Linked DNA regions of Saccharomyces cerevisiae S288C. The gene in region 1 interacts genetically with each later gene. Each region holds a gene or a part of one and is shown on either strand. Other genes may lie near its edges.

Region 1 (4,797 bases):
TTGCACTGCCGTACTTTCTCAAACATTCATCATAAAACCCGTATACTTGGGTAATCTGCCTAGACTCGTGATTGCCTCTCAGTATCGTAATTCTATGTGGGTATCTGACTTTCATGGCAACTAGGTAAGATACAGTTTCAACAGAATAATATCCTCTATCCACGTAATCACCCATGAAAAGGTAATTGGTGTCAGGACAAGGGCCACCAATCTTAAAAAGTTCTAACAAGTCATGGAATTGACCGTGTACGTCACCACAAATGGTAACAGGCACGTTAATTGGTTTAACATTCTCCTCGAACTGCAACACGTCCACCGCCATTTTACATAGTCGTGCTACATCGTCTTCTGATAGTGGCTCGCATTTACTCAAATGCTCAATCCATTGGTCAAGCTGATTTATATTTGTGTTATTCAGTTCTAGTGGTTTGGAAGATTTGTGATCTGCTATGCCCGAGGAACCAGGTTTTAAATCATCAACCGAGAATTCTTCTGCATTATTATCCGATGAATTGTTGTTGAGATCCATATCTTCAGATACTGTGGGAGTCAGCTGTTCGGTAACAGCATCTTGCATAGGCACATCTAAATCTGTATCCATTTTTCTTTTTGTTTATTGTTTTATGCGATAATTTATATCCCTCTTTCCACTATGAACTAAATAGGGGCAAAATAATTTGTTTTTTTCTTTCTCTTTTGCCTTATTTCAAAAAACACAACCGGTAAAATTAACAGTTTAAAATTAGATAATAACTCTATTCAACCTGAACTCACTAAACTCTTACTAAATTACTGGTAAGGAAAGAAAACTAGGGGAAGACGAGTGAAAAAAGAGCAGTCCAACAGGTGTATTTCTAAGAAGAATAAAACACTTTTTGTAAATATCGTGTCCACTGGGGCAATTTAATTTACACTAAAACTAATTGGAGTATGTGTATATCAAAATCAATGAAAGTGCAGCGTCTGATTCACTAATTACCTCCTTTACTGTGAAACGGTGCGTCGAAAGGAACCTGTAACAAAAACCTGCTAAAAAGAATGCCGAACTAATGTAATCCGGAAAACTATTTCTACTACTATGTGTTAGTCGATTAAAATAGCCGAAAATCTTTCAAGCACGACAGAAAGATTCATTATCATTCTCCATTTCACAGGTATTCCATTTTCCGTTCATTTTTTCACTTTTTGATTTTATCCTTAAAACCCGCCCGGTTCATCACTTTGCACGCCACAGAAACCTCAGAATAAGCTAAAGGGTAATATAATAAAGCCCTTCGATTCAATAATAGCATTACCCAAGAGGCATAGCGGCAAACTAAGTTGACAACACAAAATCAAATCGCTTCATTTTTATTTTATTAATGATATTTTATTAGAGAGGAAATTATGTAATATCTAGATATTAAATATAAAGTAGATCTCTGTCTAAAATATTCTTAACAAAATCTTATATTCGAAAGGATGACGGTCCAATCAAAGGATTGTATAAGAGAAATTAGTTTTCGAAATCAATTTTTACTTGACCTGAACTTAACGATTTGCTCTCAATCCGCTTATTTGGATCTGGCTCTCACCTTCCGTCTCTTTCTCTTAAGTCTTCTAGTTCTCTTCTTTCTCCACTTAGCTCTCATTTGGAATTAAGTCGATATGACTATCTTAGGATTGAAGTAAAATATAAGATGAAAACAGAAAACAAGCGAAATTTCAAAGAGAGAAGTGAAACAATAATGACGGATAACAATTATTTAACATTCAGAAATATTACATTCGTTAACTCTCCATATATATAAATCACCCCAGCAGAGGAAGATGGGATTTCTGCCAGCAATGATGACGGGTAAATGGATAGCATCGCAGCTGCGACACCTTTTCCATGGTGCGACACGCGTCGTACAATGACCTAAAAATCCTAAAATAAAATAAGATGAATCTAATAAGGAAAGGTACTGGTGAAATGAGATAAGGGTGTACGGGTGTGGTAACCGTCGTGAAATAAAGAAAGCATTCTGAACGATGAATACTAAATAAGGGAAAGTGGAAATAAACGAAGTGTCGAAAGAGGAGAAGAGGTCTTGGCTTTCATATAGTGGAAGAAATTCTAAGCTACAACACAAAGTCTCCAACCACCTTTTGTTTAGTCAATTATAAAAATACTTTGATTGCTATTTCGAAACCGTGAGATTGCTGAGAAGGGAAAGTGAATGATATTTTTTTGCATTTTTTGAGGCGTTCTTTTTTTTTACACTGACAAATTTAATGGGGGATTCTAATTCCAGCCAAGAAGCGTATTCTGATACAACATCCACGAACGCTTCTAGAATCGCAGATCAAAATCAACTTAATTTAAACGTGGATCTTGAAAAAAATCAAACAGTAAGGAAGTCAGGTTCACTGGAAGCATTACAGAATGCAAAGATACATGTTCCCAAACACAGTGATGGTTCACCACTAGACTATCCAAAATTAAATACTTACACGTTTGTGCCTACCACAGTGCCGCCTTATGTTTTAGAGGCGCAGTTTGATAAATTAAGACTTCAGGATAAGGGCACCGTTGATGGAAATGTTACCGATGATAAAAATCTTCCAAAAGAGTTTAAATGGGGCCAGTTTGCATCTACCATCGGCTGTCATTCTGCATACACTAGAGACCAAAACTACAATCCTAGTCACAAATCCTACGATGGTTACTCTCTATCATCATCTACCTCATCAAAAAATGCGGCTCTTAGAGAAATTTTAGGTGACATGTGCAGCGAGTGGGGAGGTGAAGAACGACTAGAAGGTGTTCTACATTCAGAAATAGGTGCCAATTTAGAGTTCAACACGACAGAAGAGAGAAAAGAGTGGTTACAATATATCGAAAAGGTAAAAGATTTCTATTACGGTGATAATAAGAAGAACCCAGAATCACCCGAATCAGTACACAACAAAGTTTACAAGTCAGATTGGGTAAATGAGCTCAATAAAGAGAGAGAAAAGTGGCGGAGGTTAAAGCAAAGGAAGTTACAACAGTGGAGACCTCCTTTGACGTCGCTATTACTTGATAATCAATATTTGATTTTGGGTTTGAGGATTTTCACTGGTATATTATCGTGCATTTCACTTGCTCTGGCAATCAAGATTTTTCAAAACTCAAGATCAAATAACACCATCAGTGAAAGTAAAATCGGGCAACAACCAAGCACCATAATGGCCATCTGCGTCAACGCCGTGGCGATTGCGTATATTATTTACATTGCACACGATGAATTTGCTGGTAAACCTGTTGGTTTGAGGAATCCGTTAAGCAAACTGAAACTAATTTTGTTGGACTTACTTTTTATAATTTTTTCAAGCGCTAATCTAGCGCTGGCATTTAATACTCGTTTCGACAAAGAGTGGGTTTGCACTTCTATTCGCAGGTCAAATGGAAGCACGTATGGATACCCAAAAATACCGCGTATCTGCAGAAAACAGGAAGCTTTATCCGCTTTTCTGTTCGTTGCCTTGTTTATGTGGGTAATCACTTTCTCGATCAGTATTGTTAGAGTAGTCGAAAAAGTCAGTTCAATTACCAACAGAAACTGAGCTCGACAAATATAGAAATTAAAAGAATTCTTTTAGATACCAAGATTGACATTTATATGCATTGTATATTTTTGACTTAAAAAATTACTCCGGCTTGGCATTTATTCATTAACGGCGGGTTTGATTATATTAGGCTTTGTGCGATATAATATGTATTACCCGAAGGGAGGGCTATTGCACTTTCTTTTCCTTTCCGTTTTAAGGGCCCTTTTTCATTTCGATGTTTGATGGACACACATGAAGTGAAATGTGGCAAATAGAACATCTAGAAAAACTAGGGCATTAGGTAAAGTACCCCAGCAGAACTTCACTTTACAACGCAATTGATTCATATCACTGCTCTTTTATATTGTCCTTTTTCTCTTTTAGAGCTTTTCATCCGCATCTTCTAACTTCTGTGCACCCCTTTCATTGTTGATTACATTTTACCTCAGTTACACATTTCTTTTAGCAATTCGACATTGCTTCTACTTACCGATAAATAAGCGTACATTTTTGAGTCTTGAAAGGATTCTTACATATACCTAAACAAAGAATAACAACAAAATCGCAAGCAGCAAAGCATGTCTGAGACTCTGCCTAGATCTGATGATTTAGAGGCCACTTGGAACTTTATAGAGCCAGGAATTAACCAAATACTGGGTAATGAGAAAAACCAAGCATCCACGTCTAAGCGAGTTTACAAAATTCTTTCTCCAACCATGTATATGGAAGTCTATACCGCAATTTATAACTACTGTGTGAACAAATCACGCTCGTCTGGACATTTTAGTACTGACAGTAGAACTGGCCAATCAACAATTTTGGTTGGCAGTGAGATTTACGAAAAGTTAAAGAATTATTTGAAGAATTACATTTTAAATTTTAAGCAGTCTAATTCAGAGACCTTTTTGCAGTTTTACGTCAAGCGCTGGAAAAGGTTTACAATAGGTGCCATTTTTTTAAACCATGCATTCGATTATATGAATAGATATTGGGTTCAAAAGGAAAGAAGTGACGGCAAAAGGCATATTTTTGATGTAAACACCTTGTGCTTGATGACATGGAAAGAAGTCATGTTTGATCCGAGTAAAGATGTTTTAATAAACGAATTATTAGACCAGGTAACCTTGGGAAGGGAGGGGCAAATAATTCAAAGAAGTAATATTAGCACTGCCATAAAGTCTTTAGTTGCACTAGGTATCGATCCACAGGATTTGAAAAAGTTGAACCTAAATGTCTACATCC
Region 2 (3,221 bases), on another chromosome or scaffold:
AGGCGAAAAGCGAGGCGACATACTTCTTTTCACATCAACTCGAACAGAGAAAAAAGTAGACATAGAAAGAACCCAAAGACCACAAGAGCAAACAATGGTACAGCTGAGAAGAACGTATGTATATATGTTCGTGGTAAGCTCGTTGGTATGCACGTATCTTAGGCATCACTACCAACAAAGTGTTTCAAGCGATCACGTCGACTAACGACAAAGTTGCTCACTTTGTCGTGTTCATGTGGGAGTCGTGGCTGTTTGTAAAGATGTTTGCTGAGGACATCGTGACTTTCCGCAAGCTACAGGCCAACAAGTACGTGTTAGGGGTGCTGATCTGTTCATTATGCGCAAGTGTAACGAGTGAATTCGCCCAAAGCGTGGTTTCGCGGGGACAAAGGGTGTTCGATGTGAAGGATATTATTTGTAATTTCTGGGGCAGTCTGCTTGGTGTGGGCATTGCCTTCTACCAGGACCGATAAAAAGAGATTATACGGAAAATCATATAAATGTGTTTATGTACAGGCAAGTTTACGTAGACTAGATTACTTTAATTGAATATATGCTCTGTGAGCAATGGCTGTCTTGTGAATCTGGTCCCTCTTTTCAAAGGCAGACGAAGTGCCTTTGGCAATGGCAGTGAGTTCTTCTCCCAAACGCACGGCGAAGTCGCTCGACACTCTTTGGTTTGCGCTTTGTACGATCCAGTTCCACGCGATCCTATTTCTTTGCCTCTTGTTCAGAGGCACAGGAATGACAGAAGCCTTGGCCACGCCTGTGTTGAATGTCTTGGTCATCATCAGCGGAGCTAGTTCGTCGAGTGACTTTTCCAAAGCCTGGATGGGGTCCTGCCGGGTCTGGCAGTACACCAGATATAAGGCCCTGGACAGAATGGTTTGTGCCTTTTCCTTCTTACCGTGGCGCATGATCATGTTTGTGATGTGATCCAGCGTTGCGTTCTTGCGTGGAGGAATGGGCACGGACTTCAGTGCCTCCCATTGTGCCAACTGCTCTGCAGTTGGCTTTATCTTGGAGCCCGCCTGTGAACCCTGTAAGAGGTCTACTTTGGACTGGCCCGGTGGAGCCAGCGAGGTCTCTGGCAGGTATTCTTTTGCAGAGAACTCTTCCCTTAGCTCGTTGATCGCTTCAAGCCACTCGTCGACCCCTTTCTCTGCCGATGGTTCGCTAGCTGGTGTTCGTACTGACGACTGGAAACGAGCAACACATGTCCCACTTTGCCACAGGAGACGTGGCCTGACTAACATATACCTCCTCGCACAATGCAGCATTATATTCACCTCAGATCCGTATCTATCTATTTTTCTTCTGAAAACGATAGCTGCTGTCTTTTCTGTACGTGTATAATGTGCATTGTATGTAGTAAGCTATTTCTCAAGCAAATGTAGATTGGAGCCAAGACGAACATTTAAAGCCGTATAGAACTACTTTGTTTCTTCTTCAGATGATCATTTCTCATATATGGTCACGTGGCTCGATGTTTATCGCTTTATCTTTTTTTTTTTTTTTTTTTTTGCTTTTCATTTTGGCTCTGCTCTCTGTATTAGCTCATCATTTAACGCAAATGACCACGAGACAATAAACCGACGAGGAATGTGCTCATATGTCTCGCCAATACCTCTAAATAATTGACCGCGCGATTATTTAGTGTGACCAGAGCAAAGTAGCTTTGCGTCCGACCATGCAACCATGGATATACTCAAAAATGGCAATAGTGTGCCCCTAATACGTTTGCTGGCCAGTATCCCTTTCTGAAATAAGCTAAACCCTTGCAACCACCAGGGGTGCCGCCGTCCTAACTTTCCAGCCTGGCAGCGCGTCGAGTCGCCGAATGTTGCGGGCGCTGCCCCGCCCGCAACACCGCGCCCGCCCTGCCTCAGCTTAACCGAAACCACACGGGTCTGCCATCTTCCATATACCCTGGCTCTTCTTTCACAATGCCCGCTCACAACGCCAACTGCAAAAGAAGCCCGCCCTTAGTCGGTTTTCCCCACTTTGATATAACCCCCCCCCCCCCCCCCCCGCATCAACTGGTAATTTAACCCAAACACCACGGGGTCATAATTTAAAAGCGAAAAACCTTAAAGCGTTCTCGAAGAAATCTTCCTGTAGATGATGTCGTAGCAAACTTATCTTTTAGAGTGTTTGTGCTTACTGCATTGTCAGATCAAAATTTACGTAGCCGCCCTTTTCAACCCCTGTCGAAGAGTAGCATAACAGCAGCGTAGTGAACGTGCATGTTCACAAATACACGTACAATATTAATATACAATAGTAAGGTGATGAACACACACACACACACACACACACACACACACACACACATATATATATATACAGGAGATCAAGTTAGTGTGAGGGGACGACTACTGAGTTTGAAGTTCTTTAAAGTGTTAAAGTTATTTTTCCCCTCTCCCACCTCGTTGGCAACCTCTCACCCACCGCTTAGCAGCATGTCTCCGTACATGACCATACCTCAGCAATACTTATACATAAGCAAGATACGTTCCAAGCTGTCTCAGTGCGCCCTTACTCGACACCACCACAGAGAACTTGATCTACGAAAAATGGTGGGCCACGCCAATATGCTGGACAGGATCCTCGACGAAATAGACGAAATCGACAGCGAGGTAGTACTGTGTGACGCTGCCGATGGTTCTTCTACTGCAGAAGCTCATTCCGCTTCCCCAGCATCCAGCGACTCTTCTCCTCTCACTAATAACATCCGGCCCATTAGCATTATGTGATTAGCATGCATTTTCCCCTTTTCCTTTCTTAAGAACATTTTTACGACGCGGATCTGCCCGTCATCGCATACGAATGTTGAATCACGCCAGAATCACCAAAGAAAAAAACTCGTTCAGTTCCTAGGTTTTATGAGCCAGGAACAATAGACTTTTATCGCATATTATTTCTATACGTGCACTTATATATGCACACATATGTTTATATACATATACATACATACGTGTTTCTTTTCAGCCTGTGTTTTTGTCGGGTCCAAAAACATACAAGGCAACATAATATTTTGACATAACTCAACGCAACATAACAGTATAAAACATAGTTTAATAAAAGAGAAAAAAAAAACAATATTTTTAAGCTATCGCTCTTGCCGCAATGAACGCCAACTCTACCACGACAGCAATCGGCCTCACCAGCCCCTTCGAAAAGCTGTCCTTCTTCCCTCATTCGTCTAATTTAATACTGGC
Region 3 (4,558 bases), on another chromosome or scaffold:
CAAAGTACTGTTTGGTGGAATCAAACCTGGGAAACCACGTGGGCCATAAGCATATGGGCCAGGGATGGTTAACCTAGCTTTTTCACCAACAGACAACTTTGGAATACCAACATCCCAACCCTTGATGACTTGGCCGACACCGATGTTACATTGGAATGGAGAGCCCCTGTCAACGGAGGAATCGAATTTTTGGCCGTTCTCCAAGGTACCGGTGTAATGAATGGTAACCAAGTCACCTGTCTTTGGGAAGGTGGCACCATCACCTGGGGAAATTCTGTCAATTTTGACGTTACCTTCAATTACTTCAGACATTATTACTTGTTTTGATTGATTTTTTGCTTATACTCGAGTTTAGGTGAAAGGCCTTACTTTAAGCTTTCACGAGTTTATCCACCAAATTCTTTCAACGACGTCTCTCTTCCGGCAATTTTTTTTGCCCGAAAAAGACTAAGGCGGGTGAGGGGAATTGAACGGCACTATAATGTGGAGGTAAACAGAATGATCAAGCGCTATATACATAAGTAGCTATAGATTATTTATTTCAAGACGGCAACCAACTTTTCGCCAGAATTCCTCCCGTGCTTAATATCATCAAGTAACTGTGGGATATCATCTAACCCGTTCTTGTAAACTTTCACTGGGATGTGGTGGATTTCACCATCATTGATTTTTGGATTGATGAACTTAATAAATTTTATGGCGGCTTCCTTGTATTCAGGGTCTGCTGGCAAAGTAAACGTGCCAAATGGGACGTCGTTACCTCCTATCAAATATAGAAGGGTTCCTTCAATACTGACGTTTTGCCTCCTGTCTTCCTCCTTGATATCTTTTTCGGTTAAAACGGTCAATTGAACGACCGTAGCGTCTAAGTCATCAGCGGCACATTTGTACACCTGTTGAATAGTTTCTGTGTTGGAGACACAGTCCACCAAGTAAGGAATGTTGTTGTACTTCTTTTTTATCTGTTCGATAACGTCAGCATCGTGGTAGTCAAAAAGTTCATCTGCACCGTACTCTTTCAACAATTTTTCATGTTTACGAGAAGCAACGACGATGATCTTGCTGAAACCGTTTAGTTTTTTTGCCAATTGAATAAGCATCTGGCCAACAGCAGTGGCACCACCCCAAAATAAGATGGGTTGATCTCTTTGCGCTTTGGAGGGCTTCCATGTCATGTCCAAGCCAAAACTATGTGTAAGGATCATACCAGCCGTGGTCAATGAGACTGGGAGGGATACTGCCCCTTCTAAAGATTTTACGGGGCCTTCTGGTAGCTTGTCTTTACCGCACAATCTAAACTCTCTGGCTGGTTTATAAGCAGTCTCGGATGAAATGGCAGAGTACTCAGCAAAGGCACCGTTTGAGGGGAACCTCACTGAAGCACCGTGAATAACCCCATAAATGTAATCACCAATGGCAAAGCGTGCAGCATCAACATTTGGGCCCAACTTTACGATTTGGCCGGCTGCATCACAGCCTAAGAGGGCACCTTGAGGACCAATCTTGAAATCAATATGTTTCCAATCGGTAGGGTTACCGGCAACGGCGACAGTCTTAATTAGAACAAATCCTTCTTCTAATTCAGGAATTGGAATGTCCTGTTTGACTACAGCCTTGCCATTTTCAATGACAACGGCTTTCATGGTTTCTGGAATCGAGGCGGACATGCTTGATATGCAGTATGATATTGCTTTTTGCTGTGTATAGTTAACGATTTTTTTTCAACTAGAATTACAGTACTAATCAAGAAGTGAGAGGAAGAAAACGGCAAAAAAAAAACTCTCTCCTTTTAAATCGAAGCATTGCCGAAATACCTTAAAAACGGTCTTAAATCCTTAACATCTGTCCTTACTAATCGATGCCAATCCAACGGAGGGAGCCCATATGCTAGGTACTAAGAGTACGCAGGGGCGGAACCGCGCGACAACCGTAAGCGGATCCGAGGAACTTTAGTCAGCAGGGGCTGTGATGACCATTAAAAAATTGCGGACACAGGTAGTGGAACGAGCAATCAATGTGATCAATTTGCCATTTCATTCCACGAAATGGTTTCCATTCTAAGCATGAATGCTTTGACGTTACGGGTGTTGGTTATTTCGGTTCTTTTTATTGCTTCCGTGGGCACGTACGAGAAGGGAAGATGAATAGAAAAAGAGTTTCCGAGTTTTGTATGTCCAATGTTTACATAATTTATATAACTTGAAGTTTAATCTTGGCATAAAGCTCTAGTTGTGACGAAGTGTGTAGGCCATCACATCAGTTCTCCAGTTTTCTACCCAATTTTTTTATGGATACCTTGATTTTTGGTTTAGGGCTGGATGTCTTTACGCCCTTTATTTGTGTTTTACTGCCCAAACTAGTGCCGGTCTCTAAATATTTTTCTGTATTAGTAGTAGAATCGTTCTCCATTAGTAATGCTTTTTTTTTCTTTTCAAAATTGATTGCCTTGACGTCTAAGTAGTTATTCAGTTCTTTTTCCTTTTTTAGCAACTCATTCTTGCTCTTCTGGTAAAATTCCAGGTCCTCTTTACTCAACCTAGTAAAACTTTCACGGTCTCTCACCAAACCGTTATATTGTTTTTGTTTACTAATAGCATTAGACCTAAGCTGATCTCGCAGGGACTTCCTGGTTTTCCTTTTATATTCCGCTTCATATTTTTTTTGCTCCACTTGCTCTCGTATCCTCTGGGCCTCTACATTACCAACTCCTTCTGACACGAATTTCAGTGGTTTTTTCTCTCTTGCACTATTAGCATTATTATCACTGGTAGATGACATGATGATATAACAGAGCCCACAGTCTTTTGTTGGAACCGCTTTCTCTAGGCTTCGATGGACTTACATCTAATTGCACATTCTCGTGCGTTTAAACGTCATTTTTCCCTCAGATTGGCAGTGCATCAAAAGTAATTCCTAGGGACGACAAAAAGGCGGAAAAGGTTTCAGAAAAATAAGCGGACTTAGCTCAGTTGGGAGAGCGCCAGACTGAAGAAAAACTTCGGTCAAGTCATCTGGAGGTCCTGTGTTCGATCCACAGAGTTCGCAATTTGAAAAATTTTTTTTAATGATTACGCATGTGGATGTGTTCAGTATCAACCGATGCTCGCTTTTCCAATCAAATGATACAAGCCAGACCGAACATTGCATGTTTTCCATTGTAACTTCCCAGGTATATCTGAATTAGTTGTAAAAAGTAATAGTTTACCCGGAATCGTGTGAAAAATTTTGAAAAAAAAAAATGAAGAGCCAAGATACAATGAGATGAGATGAGGTGCTGAAGATGCATGGAGATTCTGTATTTATCTCAAATAAAGTACGCAATAGAGTATATAAGCCAAGTCACCTTTTATATTTCTTAGTTTTTAACTTGCAAAGACTTATAAGAGACTTATAAAACAAGGAGAAAATGGCCAAAAAAGCTATCGATTCAAGAATCCCGTCACTGATCAGGAATGGTGTTCAAACCAAACAAAGGTCCATATTTGTCATCGTTGGGGACAGGGCACGTAACCAGCTCCCAAATTTACATTATTTGATGATGAGTGCTGACCTTAAGATGAACAAGTCCGTCTTATGGGCTTATAAGAAGAAGCTTCTAGGATTCACTTCGCACAGAAAAAAAAGAGAGAATAAAATTAAGAAAGAAATTAAAAGAGGTACAAGGGAAGTGAATGAAATGGACCCTTTTGAATCTTTTATCTCTAACCAAAATATCAGATATGTATACTACAAAGAGAGTGAGAAAATATTGGGTAATACCTATGGTATGTGTATTCTTCAGGACTTCGAGGCATTAACCCCAAATCTTTTAGCAAGAACCATTGAAACTGTAGAAGGTGGTGGTATTGTGGTTATTTTATTGAAATCAATGTCATCGTTAAAGCAACTGTACACCATGACTATGGATGTTCACGCCCGTTATCGTACTGAGGCTCATGGTGACGTTGTTGCAAGATTTAACGAAAGATTCATACTTTCTTTAGGTTCAAATCCAAACTGTTTAGTCGTTGATGATGAATTAAATGTTCTACCGCTATCTGGTGCCAAAAACGTGAAACCACTACCTCCTAAGGAAGATGACGAATTGCCTCCAAAGCAATTAGAGTTGCAAGAATTAAAAGAATCCTTAGAAGATGTCCAACCAGCTGGTTCATTGGTTTCTCTATCCAAAACTGTCAATCAAGCCCACGCTATTCTTTCTTTCATTGATGCCATTTCGGAAAAAACTTTGAATTTCACAGTTGCACTAACAGCTGGAAGAGGTAGAGGTAAGTCTGCTGCTTTAGGTATTTCTATTGCCGCGGCCGTTTCTCACGGGTATTCTAATATTTTTGTTACTTCTCCATCTCCCGAAAATTTAAAGACTCTATTTGAGTTTATTTTCAAAGGATTCGATGCCTTAGGTTACCAAGAACACATTGATTATGATATCATTCAATCTACGAACCCCGACTTCAACAAAGCCATTGTGAGAGTTGATATTAAAAGAGATCACAGACAAACGATTCAATATATTGTTCCTCAAGACCATCAAGTTCTGGGCCAAGCTGAATTAGTT
Region 4 (4,086 bases), 370 kb from region 1:
ATATATTATTAAAAAAAAAGCCAATCTATATTATTTAAATTATCCGAAATTACTTTTATTACATTATGACATTCTATAGTCTATGCAAGCGGATCAAAAAACCATTCCATCTTGGTGCCACAAAATACTCTCATGCCAAAAGTGCGAGCTTCGTTTCTTGTATCCACTTTGTCGCCTAACCTTATATGAATCCACTTTTTTAAAACTTTTGGTTGTAAAACAAACCAGTTTATGATGATGAAACTTGTCATTGCATATAAAACACCAACGAAAAGGTCAAATCTATAATGGTGGTCCAGATACATGGTAGCCCACCATTGTAGTATTATATATAGGATAGCCCAGAATTTTGGTATAAACCCATCGTTGACTATTTTAAAAATCCATTTGTTTGTGAAGTTCGTGTCTTCATCATATAAATGGACAAACTGGAGAGGTTTCTTATTGCCATTGCTGTTAATAATGCTGCCGTCGCCGCCGCCGGTGCTTCTTTCATTACTGGATACGGTGAATGAAGATGAAGGGGAGGAGGACCGCTCATTTGAAATATCTACAGGCTCAACGGTACCCAATGGTTCCATCTCTAAGTCGTTAGGGCCAATCGTGGGCGGTATGCTATTGTCACCTTCATCTTCGCTGTCTTCCTCACTCAACTTGAAAGTGGAAGAATCATTATTGTGCATTGTGAAACCTCCAGCATTGGAAAATCTGTGTTTTAAGCTGGTGGACCTTGAAACCAAAAACAAGAAACATTGAAATGCAATGGCGGAGTGTAGTGAAGGAACAGCACCAAACACAATAGGAGACATGTGAAATCCTTTAGTGTTCAAATGAGTACCCAAATGGCTATCTACTCTTATCAAACCGGCAGCAAACCCTTCCTGGGTGTAATTAACATGTTCGGTGTCATCAATACCGTACAGATGAGTAAACCATGGGGAGGCCATTGGAACAAGCAGATGGGTAAGGACCCCCGCTATATTTTGTAATCCTAGGGCAAAACTAAAGCATTTTAAAGTCCCCGGTGGTTGGAAGACGTATAAGTATACAGCTGTTAAAATTGGAGCTGTCAAGTGCAGGATGACATAGGAGAACCAAGCCAGTAAATCCTTGGTCTTAGTAAAGTTTGCATCCGACTGGTAAGCAAAGAAATGATCAATGTTGAGTATAACAAATGTAAACAGGGGCAAGGCAAACGGTATGAAAATTGTCCGAAATCTCTTTTGGATCGGCCGCTGCTTGCGCTTGCAGGGGTAATGAAAAATATTTGCGAACCACTCTAACAGATTATAGTTAACGTGCTTAATGTAATAGATGTAGTACCAAATGGCAAAGGGAATACATATCAGAAATACTAAGAGAAATGCAGAAGATGATATGAATGACCAGAAAAATAGCTTCGAAGTATTATCGGGCAATTGTACAGTAAGTTCATGCCAATAGTCCCCAAAGAGGAATTGATCAGCAAAAAAAGCAAACTTGCTATGAATGTCAGGTCTGAGCCTTATGGGTATCAGACCAGCGCGCTTGAATATAGACAGCCAAATAAACACTGGCGCAAAATTAAGCATGAAGTTGAACGGCAGGCTTATTAGATTACGTTGGTTCAAACTTGCATTATACATGTTTTTGACGAAACTCGCCAAAGAAAATATGACATTCATGCTTTCTTAGACGTTGAAAGACTTTAGGTGATTCTTAGCAGAAATGATAACGTCCAACCGGTGAAATAAAGGAACAGTTAGGGTGGCAATGAAAAAGTAGCGATGCTTATGAAAACACTATGCCTTAGGTTTCCTTTTTTTATTTTTATTTGACAAGTAGCGATTACTCTTCTATTGTTCCTGGTTTTTGATGCTCGAATGTATTATATAAAAATGTTGTGGCCGGAGGTCTGCATTTCTAGGCATTTTTCCTTTTTCTTATTTTTTTTACTTTCCTACTAACTTTGCACTTCGTAAGAGAATTTACACCAGAACTCTCGATTGAGGCGAAGAAGGCGGAGAAAAAAGCCGGTAAAAAAAAAAAGCGGAATCAATCAGCACAATCAGAGGCGTCAAGAAGCGGCGCGGGGATAATGCTTTTTTCCCGTGGCGTTCACATTTTTGTTCCGCGGAAAGCACGTGAGCGTAATCCACTCGGGAAGGGCGCAGCTGCCGTGGCCAACTGAAGTAATCTTTAGCCGTTTATCGCCGCGCAAAACGGCAATTGCACTTGAGACCCCAACGGCGCTGTGCAGCAGGGTATTCTACTACGTGTTAGCTTGCCTTGCATTTCCCCATGCGTCTCGAATAGGAATTATTCAAGATGGATTATTGGCATTTACGAGTAACCAAGGATAACCCCGCTGTGCGGTGAAACCACCCTCTTTTCACGTTTCTTCAAGGCCAGTGCAAACGCGAATAAACATATCTACGCTATATATAGATATGACGTTTCTCAAGCCAACAGAAGTAGATAAAGCAGCCAGGAGGGTAGAGAGTGTTCAAATTATAGCAAGCCTTCTTCTACCTGTTTTTTTTTGATGATTGTTTTGCCGGGTAACAATCGACTTTCGGGCAAATTTTTTTTCCTTTTTTCTCCTAACAGTATATACGGAGTGGAGAACAGACTTCCCATAAAAGCATATTACGTGGGGTCGTAGTAAGATTGCCGTTTATGATACCCTCTATTCAGGGCTCAGAGCGCATCACGATCGGGAGTGTAAATTCAATGTGCATATAAGCAAAACACACAGATTTCCTTTTTTCCCAGAAAAATGAGCAGTGAAATTGCCTACTCGAATACGAACACCAACACTGAAAACGAGAACCGCAATACTGGCGCTGGCGTAGATGTAAATACAAATGCAAATGCAAATGCAAATGCAACTGCAAATGCAACTGCAAATGCAACTGCAAATGCAACTGCAGAGCTGAACCTCCCCACGGTCGATGAGCAAAGACAGTATAAGGTACAACTGCTATTGCATATCAACAGCATATTACTTGCTAGAGTTATTCAGATGAATAATAGTTTACAAAACAATCTACAGAACAATATAAATAATAGCAATAACAATAACATCATCAGGATACAGCAACTTATATCTCAGTTCCTTAAAAGGGTTCATGCCAATCTTCAATGCATATCTCAGATAAACCAAGGAGTGCCCTCAGCGAAACCACTGATCCTCACGCCTCCTCAGCTAGCCAACCAGCAGCAACCTCCACAGGATATTCTTTCTAAACTCTATCTTCTCTTGGCAAGAGTGTTCGAGATATGGTAGAATAACTTTGTTTCTCTTCCCTTTTTTATTTTGTTTTTTTTTTTTTACTTTTGCAATTTTAATTTTGCATTCAGCTACAGGTGTGATTGCATACCCGCAGAGCAAGTACAGGAAGCATAAGAAAAATAGAATACGAAAAGCAGAAAAAGAAAGGCAAATAACAATCACTCAAGTACTACAACTGCATGAATTTATCGTATGTAATGTACCCAACGTAAATAATAATATTAGTATTTTAAAATCTATGACATCAGATGTAGTTATCTTACTGCCAGCCCTATTAATACTACTTTCTTATTATCTTCTTCGAGAGCCACCTTCGTCATCGTCGCAGTAAGCATTGTCATCTTCATCATGCACGTCGGTAACGGAAGCCTAATCTCAATATCTACTAGTTTACTCTACGCCATTTGGAGCGTAGCCCCTTCTCCTTTTGACTCTCTGACTTTTCCCTCCCCTCCTTCTCTTCTGGCCTAGCCTAACCTAGTCTAGCCTCGCTGGACCCCCTCCTTCCAACGGTCAACCCCTTCCTTTCTATTCTCTTCTCGTTCTCTACGTAAGGAACTTGTAAAAGAAAAAATTTGGTGCCATACAGGGAAATCGGCAGTGAGACGGAGCGGCCGAGGGTCTGATTATAGGGGTTAGTTACGCTCCTACTATGACGATCAAGGAGAGACAATCTCGATTCTCATTTTCTTTGGGACAATACGCCTTTAACCCCCCATTTTCGGACATCCCTGGAAGTCTCAGCTGATTCATTTAAATACTATCAATTTCCGTGTACTTTCGGAGATCTTTCAGTCAGCTTTTCCTTCATC

Evidence for each region.
Region 2: mutations in SRF1 (region 1) and RSM7 together harm fitness more than expected from each alone (negative genetic interaction), as found in Saccharomyces cerevisiae (2 studies listed by BioGRID).
Region 3: mutations in SRF1 (region 1) and YNL134C together harm fitness more than expected from each alone (negative genetic interaction), as found in Saccharomyces cerevisiae (one large-scale study listed by BioGRID).
Region 4: mutations in SRF1 (region 1) and SNF11 together harm fitness more than expected from each alone (negative genetic interaction), as found in Saccharomyces cerevisiae (one large-scale study listed by BioGRID).

What each region holds. Positions count from the first base shown.
Region 1 is NC_001136.10:220,171-224,967, forward strand, and holds SRF1 (phospholipase D regulator), read left to right. Parts: upstream 1-2,256; coding exon 2,257-3,570; downstream 3,571-4,797. Other genes in the region: phosphoprotein phosphatase 2A catalytic subunit PPH21, read right to left, coding at 1-601; 60S ribosomal protein eL41 RPL41B, read right to left, coding at 1,554-1,631; cullin CDC53, read left to right, coding at 4,134-4,797. UniProt on the Saccharomyces cerevisiae protein: Regulator of phospholipase D (SPO14) which is required for SPO14 catalytic activity in mitotic cells. Essential to buffer the toxic effects of C16:0 platelet activating factor.
Region 2 is NC_001142.9:637,696-640,916, forward strand, and holds RSM7 (mitochondrial 37S ribosomal protein uS7m RSM7), read right to left. Parts: upstream 1,281-3,221; coding exon 537-1,280; downstream 1-536. Other genes in the region: YJR112W-A (uncharacterized protein), read left to right, coding at 95-114, 164-473; YJR115W (uncharacterized protein), read left to right, coding at 2,247-2,756; TDA4 (Tda4p), read left to right, coding at 3,130-3,221.
Region 3 is NC_001146.8:371,915-376,472, forward strand, and holds YNL134C (uncharacterized protein), read right to left. Parts: upstream 1,668-4,558; coding exon 537-1,667; downstream 1-536. Other genes in the region: peptidylprolyl isomerase FPR1, read right to left, coding at 1-312; FYV6 (Fyv6p), read right to left, coding at 2,257-2,778; ribosome biosynthesis protein KRE33, read left to right, coding at 3,407-4,558.
Region 4 is NC_001136.10:589,681-593,766, forward strand, and holds SNF11 (Snf11p), read left to right. Parts: upstream 1-2,758; coding exon 2,759-3,268; downstream 3,269-4,086. Other genes in the region: IPT1 (inositolphosphotransferase), read right to left, coding at 81-1,664. UniProt on the Saccharomyces cerevisiae protein: Involved in transcriptional activation. Component of the SWI/SNF complex, an ATP-dependent chromatin remodeling complex, which is required for the positive and negative regulation of gene expression of a large number of genes.